Linked DNA regions of Anolis sagrei. The protein of the gene in region 1 interacts with the protein of each later gene in a biochemical or structural test. Links are inferred from orthologs where the notes say so. Each region holds a gene or a part of one and is shown on either strand. Other genes may lie near its edges.

Evidence for each region.
Region 2: of the proteins of CUL2 (region 1) and DCUN1D4, one has a biochemical effect on the other in vitro, tested with the Homo sapiens proteins (2 studies listed by BioGRID, with this or other methods). The link is inferred for Anolis sagrei from reciprocal best matches to the Homo sapiens genes CUL2 and DCUN1D4.

The regions. Positions count from the first base shown.
Region 1 is NC_090026.1:114,118,930-114,126,594, forward strand, and holds the start of CUL2 (cullin-2), read right to left. Parts: upstream 3,617-7,665; 5' UTR 3,200-3,616; intron 1-3,199.
Region 2 is NC_090025.1:75,561,243-75,568,685, forward strand, and holds the start of DCUN1D4 (DCN1-like protein 4), read right to left. Parts: upstream 3,303-7,443; 5' UTR 3,210-3,302; coding exon 3,185-3,209; intron 1-3,184. UniProt on the Homo sapiens protein: Contributes to the neddylation of all cullins by transferring NEDD8 from N-terminally acetylated NEDD8-conjugating E2s enzyme to different cullin C-terminal domain-RBX complexes which are necessary for the activation of cullin-RING E3 ubiquitin ligases (CRLs).

The sequences.
Region 1 (7,665 bases):
CATTTATATACGCCTTTCTCAACGCGAAGGGGACTCAGTGCAGCTTACAAGTTATATGTAAATATAATATAAAAATGGTGTTTAGATAATACAATGTTTATCAAGACTGGAAAGCATCAATAATTAATTATATTCAGCTGTGTATGCAACTCTACTACTTTAATAAACCAGATGAAGTAGCCTGCTATCTAGAACAATTTAACAGCAGAGCAAACATTAGCTTAAAGAACTGCCAGATTTAGCTTTTTTTGGTAAGTTAGATTCCACTACATAACATAATTATTTTTATTCAAATAACTACTTGGGAACCATATCTAAAAAAAAGGCTTATAAAGAAAGCCAAGGATAACAAAAAGAGAGAGAGAGAGAGAGAGAGAGAGATGGAACTGAAATGAGAAAAGCATAATTCGGGTTACAGTTACAACTTCTTCCCTAAGCAGTGAGAGAGAGATATTTTAGGTGAGGAACTAGGCCAAAATGATAAATGGAAGGAAACAAGAAGATGCAAAAGACGCCGCAGAAAGCGACACTTACTCAACAAGAGACTTTGAAAAACATTCAAAAGAAAAGTGATACAGTATTTTCAGTTTACATCTAGCAATAATTTCAGTTCATGGAGATATTTCAAAATCTAAAAGGAGTAATACCTAGAGTTAAAGATAATGCGACAAACTTAACTTTTGTTGTTGTTACTACAGTTTCCAGTTGGTGACTGGGAATAAAGGTATTGCACTCCTGACTTATGATATGTAGCAGTCAGAATCCCCCCCCCCCCCTTTTTGTATGTACATCATTCCAAGAGCCTTTCTAAAAGAGGTTTCCTAGAACAGCATAGCTCAAAGTGATAGTACTTGTGCCATTTTGAGTCACTGAATGCTGGTCTTTGGTGAATTTGAAAGAAAGACAGAGAGACATAATTGTAGCTAATGGACACACATAGGATACCAGTCCCCTAGGAAAAACTGCTGATTTTCCATGCCAGGATTCTTGAGAAGAACTGACCTAGAATACACACAGGTGATACAATAATTATGTTTGCTACAGCTGTTCATACCTTTAATTCAGGCCTCTACAGATAATTTCTGTAGATTTTCTTTTTTGAAGCAAAAAGAGCTCTGAATTAAACAAATATGCTATGGATGTTTTAAGGTTCCAAATTATAGATACAAACTGTAAATAAATGGCAGCTAGTTGTTTTGAAGAGCAAAACATCTATATTGTTTTGCTGAGATAATGTAATGAATCATTAGAACTAGAAGGGCTCCATAAGTCACGGCATCTAACCAACTCCCATCTCTAGCAGGTAGCTTGTCCAGTCTCTTTCTGAAGATTCCCAGAGAAACAGATTCCATCATATTTCTAGGTAGATTATTCCAGTCCTGGACAGCTCTTAAGAACTTTTTTCTAATGTTCAATGAAAATCTATTCTCCTACCTTCAAACCATTTAAACCTGGTCCTATGTTCAACGGTATCAGAGAACAAACCTGAATGAGTTTGCTATGGGGTCACAAGTAAGTTGTACTTCCTACTCCCAGGATTCCTATAACCATCACTTTTTATCTCATTTTATGACCTGAAATGAAAGCAAACCAGAAATGGTGGATTGAACAGCATCATCCCTTCCTCCAGTCGTTCAGTGATATATACTACAGACTTCTTGTGGTTTCTGAAGCGAGAACAAGGAGCCTACTTGACTACAACACATCTAAGTTATTTTCATAAATGCCTGGACTCATAAGGCTGAATCCAGACTAAGCTAGATGAGCTTTGAAGTTTCACTGGTTTCAATGGAGCCTAACTTTGTCTGAACCCAACCTGCAGCGATGCAAAGAAAGTGCATGAAACGTATTACCTATAAGTATTTTGACAGGCAACAAGCAACACAGAGAGAGAAAAGAAGAGCAAAGGATTGCTGTGAGTTTTCCAGGATGCATGGCCATGTTCCAGAAGCATTCTCTCCTGATGTTTCACCCACATCTATAATAATAATAATCAAACCTTTATTTCTAGACTACCCTCTCATCATAAAGTTTATACATACAAAAAGGCAAGCATTCAATGCCTCAAGTGAGTAAAACATATCAAAATAATACACAATAAAGCATCCTCAAAGTTTGTGAGGTTTGTTGGAAACTAGACAAGTTTGGGTGGCCCCCCAACTGTGGAACACCCTTTCAAAAGATCTTAGACAGGCCCCTACATTGGCAGTCTTTAGAAAGAACTTGAAGACCTGGCTGTTCCGATGTGCCTTTCCAGATTAGAAATCTCCAATACGAAGTCCCAGAAGCACTTTAGTAGAACTAAGATTGCTGCACACTGCACTTACCCTATAATCCCACATACCTCCTGTCACATCAGCACTTTTAATCTTGTACCCATTACTCTGGCCCGGCCCAGTTTTATAGTGTCTTGATGTATTGTTTATTGCTTGTTGTTAATATTGCTTTAACTGTTTTTAATTTGCTTTAGGTGTTGTATTGTTATGTTGAGTTTTGAGGCCTTGGCCTATGTAAGCCGCATCGAGTCCTTCGGGAGATGCTAGCGGGGTACAAATAAAGTTAATAAATAATAATATATAATAGACAAGTGGTGTTTATATATCTGTGGAATGTCCAGGGTGGGAGAAAGAACCCTTGTCTGCAGTTGCTGGGGTTTATAGTTCACCTACAATCAAAGAGAATTCTGAACCCCACCAACGATACAATTGGCCCAAACTTCCCATGCAGAACCCCCTCGACCTACAGAAAATACTGTGTTTTCTGAAGGTCTTTGGCGACTCCTCTGACAACCCCCCCACCCCCCACCCCCGCAACCCCTAGGTTGAGAACCACTGGTCTATAGGGTAGGCCTGGGCAAACTTGGGTATTTTGGACTTCAACTCCCACCATTCCTAACAGCCTACTACAGCTCCCAGAAGCCCCTGGCAGGCTGGAGGCTTCTGGGAGCTGTAGTAGGCTGTTAGGAATGGTGGGAGTTGAAGTCCAAAACACCTGGAGGGCCCAAGTTTGCCCAGATCTACTATAGTAGAGAGATATAGTGAGAGGGGGAGGAGGCCAAAGTCGGGCCATGGTGTTGCAGGGAAAGAATGCACGGGGCGCCCCAGAGGAGGAGGAAGAGGCGGCCAAGGGGTGTGGGGAGGGAGGGAGGGGGGGTCAGAAGGCGGGGTCCCTCCCCTCCTTCCTTCCTTCGCGGGGTTACCTGGCAACAGGAGAGGCCCGGGCCCGCGTCGTCTCCCCGTCCTCCCCCTCCGCCGTCTCTCTCTCTGTCTCTCTCTCTCTGGCCGCCCCGAAGCCTCTTCACTGGGCTGCCATTACCCAGCCGCCACGGCTGCCCGTTGACCCCGCCCACTGCCTTCCCAGCAGCCCGGCGCAACCGCGAAGCAGGCGAGGAAAAGAGGGAGGGAAGGCGGGAGTTCTGGCAGCCGACAAGGAGCCGGCCTTCTCTCCTTCTCTCCCTCTCAAGACTTCTATTCTGGACGCGCCACAGCCTCCATCTAAGTCGACTAGGTCAGGCTCCGTGAGAAGAGGTGCACGCCTTGGCCTTCCTCCCCCGCCGAGCATGAAGAGAATTGGTACTTCCTGAACTACGGAAAGCGCCGAGGGCCAACCTGCTGGCCCACTTCCGCTCCGGCAAATTAAATAAATAAGTGAGAGCTTCCTTCGGATGGAAAGGGGAGGGGAGTGCGCATGCGCTGAAGGCTTCTTCGGCTTTCTCAATGTAACGGGAGACGGAGAAGATTGTTATTGAATGGAGGTGAAATGTGGAGGTTTGTCGACGTCGAAGGGAGCGAGGAGGATGGAGGAGAGGCCTTTGAAGACACGAGGAGGGACTGAGAGGGAGAGGAGAGGCCGCAGCCCTTAGGCTTCCCCGAATGGCCTGTGTGGTCGAAGGATTTCATGGCCGGAATCACTGGGTGGCTGTCAGTTTTCAGGACTGTCTGGCCATGTCGCAGAAACATTCTCTCCTGACGTTTCGCCCACATCTATGGCAGGCATCCTCAGAGGGTGTGAAGTCTGTTGGAAACTAGGCAAGTGAGGATTATCTATCTGTGGGATGTCCAGGATGGAAGAAAACTCTTGTCTGCTTGAGGCAAGTGTGAATGTTGCAATTGTCCACCTTGATTAGTATTGAATAGCATTGCAGCTTCAAAGCCTGGGGGATCCTTTGTTGGGAGGTGTTAGCTGGCCCTGAATGTTTCCTGTCTGGAATTCCCTGTTTTGTGGGTGTTGTTCTTTATTGGTTGTGTCTTCAGGGGGTTGTGTCGGCGTATGGCATTCCCATGAATTGCTGGTCGCATCTGTGGCCAGAAGCGACCAGCAATTCATGGGATTGGGCGACTGGGCGACTTGGAAGGCATTGAACAGACTGCGCTCTGGCACCACGAGATGCAGAGCCAACCTTCAGAAATGGAGCTACAAAGTAGAATCCTCGACATGCGAGTGTGGAGAAGAGCAAACCACTGACCACCTGCTGCAATGCAACCTGAGCCCAGCCACATGCACAATGGAGGACCTTCTTGCAGCAACACCAGAAGCACTCCAAGTGGCCAGATACTGGTCAAAGGACATTTAACCAGCTACCAAACTCACAAGTTGTGTATTTTTCTGTTTGTTTGCTTTGTTCTGTTAGAAATGTAATATAATGGACTGGCTGCTCTGACACGACAAATAAATTCCCATGAATTTAAATTGTGAGTTTTCCTATAATAATAATAATAATACTTTATTTATGGTCTATAGGGTAGGCATGAGCAAACTTGGGCCCTCCAGGTGTTTTGGACTTCAACTCCCACCATTCCTAACAGCCTACTACAGCTCCCTGAAGCTCCTATGCAAGAAAAGATTGTCACCGGCAAAAGTATGACAGCTGGGATTCTACAGTAGTAGTTGGAAACCTTCGCTGGTTGCGCAATGCGGGGCAGAATTAATGAAGGGAAGACATGCACAAAGCGGGTCAGAAAAGATGGGTGGGGGACAACAAACAGCCAAGCATACTGCTTAAGGCGAGTGAAGTACCTTAGAGTTATTTACTGTTAAATTATAAACAATGGCTTACGAAGATGGTAAACGGGGTAGAAATGTTTCCTCTCCGCCTTTCTGGCGAGCAAAGTTCCCAGGACTCTGACGCAGCTGCGTCTCTCACTCGCTCTGCTGTCTTGTGCACCTCTTCCCTTCCTTAATTCAGAGCCGTGTTATGTAACTAGGGTAGCGTTGAGTCCCAGCTATCATACTTTTGCTGTCACTTCTTTTCTCCAAAATATACCCTGTCCCATGAAGCCCCTGGGAGTACAATGGGTTAAACTCTTGTGCCGGCAGGACTGAAGACCGACAGGTTGGAGGTTCAAATCCAGGGAGAGCAGGTTGAGTTCCCTCTATCAGCTCCAGCTCTCAATGTGGGGACATGAGAGTACCCTCCCACATGGATGGTAAAACATCAAAACATCCAGGTGTCCCCTGGGCAATGTCCTTGCAGACGGCCAATTCTCTCACTTGCAAATTCTCAAGTTGCTCAGGACACAGAAAAAAAACCCTGTCCTATCAACATAGTTATGAAGATTGGCCCTGCTCAGTTTCCAATATCGGAAGGGATCTGATGCCTTCAGGAGGGAGGTAAAATGCCTTATTAATCTGTATGGCTAGGCTCATATGCATTTATAGCAAGATTCAGAAGGCCTCGTGTTGCTTTGGGGACGGTGGAGGGATAGTTCATAGTAAAGGTAGGCCCTAGATGAAATGCAGCCCCATTCTATTTTGGCAGTTTCATGAAGGTTTCATGAAGATGGTTTCATGATGGTTTCATGAAGATATTATTATTAATAACAATAATAATAATAATAATATCTTCATGAAACCATCATAAGCAACTTTTATGGAGGTACATTTTATTGTGTGTATTTGTAGTGTTTTGCTGCATTTATGTATTTTAATTGTTTTGTAACCTGCCTTGAGCCATGAGGAGAGGTGGGTATTTATTTATCGTATCAGGAGCGAACCAATGTATTTGAGAAAGCAAATGAACTTTCACTGCTTGGGGTACCGTCATTTTGAAGGCAAAGTTTTAAAAACTTGGCATTCTATTAAATGTCCATTGACTAGTAGCTGGCCACTTGCAGTCCTCTGGTGTTGCTATAAAAAGATGCTCCATTGTGAATGTGGCAGGGCTTAGGCTGCATTTAAATAGGTGGTCTGTGGTTTGCGGGTAAGAAATTATTATTAAATTATTATCCATCCTGACCGATTGTTTTCCAGATGAAGAGTCTTGGAAGTGGGTCCATAAATGACTGTGAACTTTTCTGAATCCACACAGTCTTTCACATTGAGGATATGGGTTTCCAGATGGAAAGCAGTCAGAACAAAGGTTTACTTGACTTGACTCACCTTCCTCTTGGTGCGTTTCTCCTTTTCACTTTCCCAGTGTTGCCTCCAAAATGGCAATATCCCAAGCAGTGATAGTTCATTTGCTTTTATAGTTTCACAGGGTTGTGCCACCCTTTTGGGGCTTCTCTCCATCACTGTCAGACTGAGTTGGTTAAGACAATCAGGCAATTTCACATCAAGGTCTGTATCCTCTACTCTGCACCCTCCTTTTGTCTAGTTCTTATCAGTAGGAACTTGTTTCAAACCCACCATGTGCAATGCTAGCGCTGATGTCAATGGGGCAGGGTAGGGTCCAGCGAGCTTCTGGCTTAATAAGGCCATTTTTGTCTAGCAGGGCGGGTTATGGGATTCTCACAATAGATTCAAACCCTGGTCTGCCAGTGTCCTAGTCCAACATGCAGACCACTATGCTACCGCAGCTGTCCCATATCTGATTTTGTCGTAAGAAAGCCTTCTGAGTATCTGACTACTGGGTGGGTTGGAGTCCTCACTAAGGGGCCATCTGCACTTACCATTTAATGCCGTTTCAAACTGATATTGAAGAATATGGTTCTAATGTCTAGAACATTTGATTCTTCAGAGGCAAGAAAGGACCTTCTCAGAATCTTAAGACTAAGAACATCTGTAACTTCAAAAGCTTGGTTTAATAAATGTTGTTGAAAATTGAATATAGTCAAAATTGTAGACACAAGAAGAATTTTTTTACATTCTTTTTTTCTGCATCCTTCTTTGTGTCCTCATACAGATAAATAAAGAATTCTGCACTTAATATTCACCACTGGATTCTCGTAGCCACATTGTTACTATTAGGTAAAGGTTTCTCCTGACATTAAGTCAAGTCATGTCTGACTCCGGGTGGTGGTGTTCATCTCCATTTCGAAGCTGAAGAGCTGGAGTTGTCCACAGACACCCTCAAAGGTCATGTGGCCAGCATGACTGCATGGAGCACCATTATTATTATTAGTCAACAAAAACTCTTTTTTCTGGAACAAATGAACTATTCTTTATTCACCTTTCCCAAACAAATCTATGCTTCAGTTTAGCCTTTCCCAAGGTAGCATTTTCCAGAAGCATTGGACTATACCTCCCATATTCCTTAGTTGTTGGATTGGGATTTGTAGTCCTACATGTCTAGAAAGTATTACGTCCAAGAAGGCAATCGCGAAAATACTTTTAAAGGAGTCAAAACAAAAATACCACTAGGTGGCAACCTAACACACCTTCTATACAACTCTAACTCCTTTAAAAATCAGTCCTCAACACAGGAAATCTTGTTCCTCAATATCA
Region 2 (7,443 bases), on another chromosome or scaffold:
TTCTAATATATGTAATGTCTTGATGCTTGTGTGTAAACAATATTTCTTTCTGTTTCTTTGCCAGTGTTCATGTGGAGTTGTCTGGTTTGCCCACTCTGGAACACACAACATATCATCGTCCTTCTTTAGGGATCCCTTTCAAATCTTTGATACTGCATCAGTCATATACATATATGTGTGTGTGTGAATGGCTAAATGGCTCTTTGTCAAGAGGGCTTTATGTTTTCTTGCCCTGGTGAAGGGAATTGGACTGGATGGCCTTAAGGCAGCCTTTCTCAACCTGGGGTTTGGGACCCTTGGAGGGGGTTGCAAGGGAGCATCAGAAGGGTCGCCAAAGACCACCAGAAAACACAGCATTTTCTGTTGGTCATGAGGGTTCTGTGTGGGATGTTTGGCCCAATTGTTGTAGGTGTGGTTCAGAATGCTCCTTGATTGTAAGTGAACTATAAATCCCAGTAACTACAATTCCCAAATGTCAAGGCCTATTTCCCCCAAACTCCATCTGTGTTTATATTTGGGCATGTTAAGTATTCGTGCTAAGTTTGGTCCAGATTCATCATTGTTTTGAGTCCACAGTGCTCTCTGGATGTAGGTGAACTACAACTCCAAAACTCAAGGTGAATACCCACCAAACCCTTCCAGTATTTTCTGTTGGTCATGGGAGGACTGTGTGCCAAGTTTTGTTCAATTCCATCATTGGTGGAGTTCAGAATGCTCTTTGATTGTAGGTGAACTATTAATCCCAGCAACTACAACTCCTAAATGTCAAAATCTATTTCCCCCAAACTCCACCCATGTTCACATTGAACATATTGATTACTGGTGCCATGTATAAATATGTGAGAGGAAGCTACAGGGAGGAGGGAGCAAGCTTGTTTTCTGCTTCCTTGGAGACTAGGATGCGGAACAATGGCTTCAAACTACAAGAGAGGAGATTCCATCTGAACACGAGGAAGAACTTCCTGACTGTGAGAGCCGTTCAGCAGTGAAACTCTCTGCCCCGGAATGTGGTGGAGGCTCCTTCTTTGGAAGCTTTTAAACAGGGGCTGAATGGCCATCTGTCAGGGGTGATTTGAATGCAACATTCCTGCTTCTTGGCAGGGGTTGGACTGGATGGCCCATGAAGTCTCTTCCAACTCTTTGATTCTATAATTCTATGTTGACATTGAGCATATTGAGTATTGGTGCCCACCAAACCTTTCTAGTGTTGTCTGTTGGTCAGGGGAGTCCTGTGTGCCAAGTTTGGTTCAATTCCATCGTTGGTGGAGTTCAGAATGCTCTTTGATTATAGGTGAACTATAAATCCCAGAAACTACAACTCCCAAATGACAAAATCATAATGTTTTGAGTGATGGTCACTCCTTGTGTTGTGAGATGTTTTGTTGCCAAATTTGGTGTGATTTCGTTCATTGGTTCTTTTGTTTTTAAGGTACTCATTACGCACAGAGCATTTATAGATAGATAGATAGATAGATAGATAGATAGACAGATAGATAGATAGATAATTATTATGCCTCCATTTACTGTATACTTCGTTTGAAAAATAATTCATGGATCTTATCTGGATGAGCCAACAATGTGATGTGGCGGCAAAAAAAGGCAATGGGATTTTGGCCTGCATCAATAGGAGCATAGTGTCTAGATCTAGGGAAGTAATGCTACCCCTCTATTCTGCTTTGGTTAGACCACATCTGGAATATTGTGTCCAATTCTGGGCACCACAATTCAAGAGAGATATTGACAAGCTGGAATGTGTCCAGAGGAGGGCAACTAAAACGATCACGGGTCTGGAGAACAAGCCCTATGAGGAGCGGCCTAAGGAGCTGGGCATGTTTAGCCTGAAGAAGAGAAGGCTGAGAGGAGATATGATAGCCATGTATAAATATGTGAGAGGAAGCCACAGGGAGGAGGGAGCAAGCTTGTTTTCTGCTTTCTTGGAGACTAGGACCAGAACAATGGCTTCAAACTACAAGAAAGGAGATTCCATCTGAACATGAGGATGAACTTCCTGACTGTGAGAGCCGTTCAGCAGTGGAACTCTCTGCCCCGGAATGTGGTGGAGGCTCCTTCTTTGGAAGCTTTTAAACAGAGGCTGAATGGCCATCTGTCAGGGGTGATTTGAATGTAATATTCCTGCTTCTTGGCAGGGGTTGGACTGGATGGCACATGAGGTCTCTTCCAACTCTTTGATTCTATGATTCTATGTTCACATTGAGCATATTGAGTATTGCTGCCCACCAAACCCTTCTAGTGTTGTCTGTTGGTCAGGGGAGTCCTGTGTGCAAAGTTTGGTTCAATTCCATCGTTGGTGGGGTTCAAAATGCTCTTTGATTATAGGTGAACTATACATCCAAGAAAGTACAACTCTTAAATGACAAAATCATCTATTTTGAGTGATGGTCTCTCCTTGTGTTGTGAGATGTTTTGTTTCCAAATTTGGTGTGATTTCGTTCATTGGTTCTTTTGTTTTTAAGGTACTCATTACGCACAGAGCATTGATAGATAGATAGATAGATAGATAGATAGATAGATAGGTTATTATTATGCTTCTTGGCAGGGGGTTGGACTGGATGGCCCATGAGGTCTCTTCCAACTCTAGGATTCTATGATTGTGCTTTTCCTGCGTGGCAGAAGGGGGTTGGGCTGGATGGCCCAAGTATGGCCTCTTGGATTTCGACAGGATCATTGGAGTGGGGTTCGCTGTCATGGGGGCGGAGGGGAGAGGAAAAAGGACAGGGAAAGAGGAGGAGGGGGTGGGATGACAGTTGGGTGTGCAATGCATTCTGGGAGTTGTAGTGCGCAGCCCAGTAAGACTACGCGCAAGAGCAGGGAGCCGAGGACTCAAACTCCCACAATGCAGCGGAGAGAGAGAGAGAGAGAGAAGCAGAGCGAAGGGGAAGCAGAGGGGTGTTCCTTTCTCCCTCCCCCCCCCCCCGCCAGAGTGGGCAGAAAAGGCGACGGAAGGGGAGGCTTGAGGGAGGCCCACACACACACACACACACACACGCCCCCTTCCTGCGCCGCCGAACAAAGCGGGGCCAACTGCGTCACAGTTCCCTCAGAGTCCCACCGAGGGCTCTTTCCCTCACAAACCGATGGCTTCCTCCTTTCCCCACCCCTTCCACATCCCCTCTTCCCCTCCTCCCGCCTCCACTCCGCTTCCTTCGCCGAGCTCCCCACTTACTGACAGCGGCGGCATCCGAGTGCATTTTCGTGCCGCCCTCGAGCGAGCCCCCGCGCCCACAGCGCTCCGGCCGGCTCCCTCAAGCGTTCCGCTCGCTGCTCTCCCGAACGCCGTCCCGCCCCGCCCACTCCCGGCTTCCATTGGACGACGCTGCTTTTCCCCGCCGCCGCGATACGACGCCTCGCCCGCCACTCCTCAGGCCACGCCCTTCACGCTTCGCCCATTGGTTGAGCGCTCTACAAAGGGAAGCCACCTGCTCCGCGCTCGCCATTGGGCCGCGGCGGCCGCCAATCACCGTACCTTCAGCGCGTGCGGAGGAGCGATCCTAACAGCGGTGTGGTCGCTGAGGTTGAGGGGGGGCGTGGCGAGTTCGAGGCCACGCCCTCCTTGGGAGGCGATTGGCTTAAAAGGTCGGTGATGGTATTAAAAGGGGGCGGGGCGTTTGGGTAAACAGCTGCCGCTTGTCATTAAGGGAAATGAGTGATGCGAAGGGTGGACAAGGCATTGGATGATAGGGTTGTTGTAGGTTTTTTCGGGCTATATGGCCATGTTCTAGAGGCATTTTCTCCTGACTCTTCACCTACATCTATGGCAAGCATCCTCAGAGATAGTGAGGTCTGTTGGAACTAGGGAAAAGGGTTTATATATCTGTGGAGTGACCAGGGTGGGACACAGAACTCTTGTCTGTTGGAGCTAAGTGTGAATGTTTCAACTGACCACTCAACACACACACACAAAATAGTTCTGCAAGATAGGTTCTGTAGGTCTGTTCTTAAGTTGAACTTGTATATAAGTCATTATATATATATATATGAAATTGCATGTAAAAATGCACCTGTTCCAACTTGCATACAAATTCAACTTAAGAACAAACCTACAGATCCTATCTTGTTTATTTTTTCGGGCTACATGGCCATGTTCTAGAGGCATTCACTCCTGACGTTTCGCCTGCATCTATGGCAAGCATCCTCAGAGGTAGTGAAGTCTGTTGGAACTAGGAAAATCTATATAAATAAAAATGTAATGTTAGTTCGTGCTACCATCAGAACTCAAAAACCACTGGGGGAATTGGCACCAAATTTGGACACAAGACACCTAACCGTCCAATTTATGTCCTCCACTCAAAAAAATTGATTTTGTCATTTGGGAATTGTTGCTGGGATTTATAGTTTACCTACAATCAAAGAGCATTCTGAACTCCACCAATGATGGAATTGGGCCACACTTAGCACACAGGGCTCCCATGACCAACAGAAAAAACTGGAATGGTTTGGTGGACATTGGCCTTGAGTTTGGGAATTATAGTTCACCCACATCCAGAGAGCACTGTGGACTCAAACAGTGATGAATCTGGAGCAAACTTGGCATGAATCCTCAATATGCTCAAATGTGAATACTGGTGGAGATTGGGGAAAATAGAACTTGACATTTGGGAGTTGTAGTTGCTGGGATTTATCATTCACCTACAATCAAAGAGCATTCTGAACTCCACCAATGATGGAATTAAACCAATTTTGGCACACAGAACCTCCACGACCAACAGAAAATACTATACAAGGGTTTGGTGGGCACTGACCTTGAGTTTTGGAGTTGTAGTTCACCTACATCCAGAGAGCACTGTGGACTCAAACAATGATGGAACTGGACCAAACTTGGCACAAATACTCAATATGCCCAAATGTGAACACTGTTGGAGTTTGGGGAATAGAGACCTTGACATTTGGGATTTATAGTTCACCTACAATCAAAAAGCACTCTGAACCCAGCCCACAATGGATCTGCACCAAACTTAGCACACTACCTACATGGCCAACATTGAATACTGGTGGGGTGGGATGGGGAGTATTTTTGAATTCTGGGAGTTGTAGTTCACCAACACCAAAAAGGAAGAGAAGGACAGATGGAGAGATCTTTAGCCTTCTCTGCCAAAAGGGTTCCTATGACCATCAGAAATATATGTTTTCTGATGGACTTTGGTGACCCCTCTGAAACCCACTCGTGACCCCCTCAGGTGGTCTCCAGGTTAGGAAGCACTGTTCTAGAGGCATTCTTTTTTTTAAGATATTTTATTATGTTATACACACAGATCGATAAGCCAAATTCCAAGTGTTACACATATAAATCCTGAGTAATTCAACAAATATTGAAGACATTATGCTAATTTACACTGGTGTATATTACATTATTTCCACCTTCCCTCCCTCTCCCTCCCTCTTCAACCACAGTATATTTCTACTAATCTTGCAGATCCAGCCACTGGCATTCTCTCCTGACGTTTCGCCTGCATCTATGGCAAGCATCCTCAGAGGTAGTGAGGTCTGTTGTGAAAAGAAGCAAGGGAGCTGAGGGATAATTTATTGTTGCCTCCAATTTGAAAGGATCCAGTATTCAGGAGATTTGCAACTGGCCGATTTGCAATGGAGGTTTCCGATTAGGGAACAAATCTACCATCAAGTTGGAAGGGAGGCTGTTCAATTGCACCTCCTCCTTTATTAAGAAAGTAATAACTTAGTAGTAATTACACTGTATATACTGTAGCGTGACTGGAGAGAAGAATGTAGATTTATTTCGTTACTTTTCCCTGCGTTTCTGCCACCACGTGAGGTAAGTTGTAATATTGTGAGAAATGGCACTTTGTACCCAGAATAGACAGAGCTGAGGCAGTCTTCAAATAAAAGTTAACAATTTTATTAAGTACACAGCGTGTGGTTGCAAGACGTAACTTTTGTTATAGAACTTAGAACAGTGCTTGGTTAGTTGAATGTTACACTCTTTCAGGTTACACAGTATCTTCCTGAGGTGAATCACTTATTACAAAACAAAGTTTCAATACAGGGATGTCTCCCTTATCTGATCCTCCCTTGATCAGATACTTAATAAGATTATTCTTTAGCCTTTCCTTAGACTAAAGGAATACTGGCTTCGTTTCCCTTATCAGCCTCTCTAGGCTAAGAAACTTCCAGTAGCTTAATCTGGTTTTCCAAACCCTCAAAACTTTGCTTCACAATTTACTCTCTTTCAGCTACAACCTCCTAATCCTTTCCTCTACCAACTGCTCTAAACCTAAACCCTAACTCCTCACTCCTCGGAACCTAAACCCTAACTGATTTTTAACTGTCCTTCTTTCAAACTGTCCCCTCTAAGCTCCTCCCACTTCTCTCTCACCTGCATCGGTCTCCATGGCAACACACATGGAGGACTCCTCTGACTTAGGCCGCTCCAGCATTACTGCAGCCAATCTAAACACAAATACAGTTAAAATCATACAATTTATAATCAACTCCTGTACAGTTGAAACTAGGAAAAGGGGGTTTATATATCTGTGGAATGACCAGGGTGGGACAAAGGACTCTTGTCTGTTGGAGGTTGATGTGAATGTTTCAACTGACCACCTTGATTAGCATTTGATGGCCTGGCAGTGCCTGGGGCAATATTTTGTTGAGAGGTGATTAGATGTACCTGATAGGCATAGGATTACAGCCTGTGTTGGACGGGGTTACACTCCCCCAGGATCGCAGCTTGGGTGTGATCTTGGACTCGTCTCTGAGCCTGGTTTCAAGGGTGACCAGGGGAGCATTCGCACAGTTAAAACTTGTGCGCCAGCTGCGCCCGTACCTTGGGAAGTCTGACTTGGCCGCGGTAGTCCACGCTCTGGTTACATACCGTATAGACTACTGCAACAGGAGCAGCACTCAGGGAGCATACTACTCCTCTGTTGCGCCAGCTCCACGGGCTGCCAGTTTGCTACCGGGCACAATTCAAAGTGCTGGTGTTAGCCTATAAAGCCCTAAACGGTTCTGGCCCTACTTACCTCTCCGAACGCATCTCCTCCTATGAACCAGCTAGGACACTAAGATCATCTGGGGAGGTCCTGCTCTCTGTCCCGCCTGCATCACAGGCACGCTTGGTGGAGACGAGAGACAGGGCCTTCTCAGTGGTGCCCCCTCAGCTGTGGAACGCCCTGCCTGCAGATATCAGATTGGCCCCCTCCCTGCTGGCGTTCCAGAGGAAAGTGAAGACCTGGCTGTTCGAACAAGCATTTGATTAAACAGTGTAATTGAACATAGGAATACGGAATAATGGATGATGAGACTGGATTCTGATTTTACTGTTGAGGCGCTAATGATTGTTATACTGATGTTTAATTATTTATGTTACAATTGTTTTTAATTGCCCTATACTTGTCTCGTGATGTTTTGTATCAATGTTGTTCACCACTTTGAGTTGCCTGAGGGCTAAGAAAAGCAGTATATAAATAA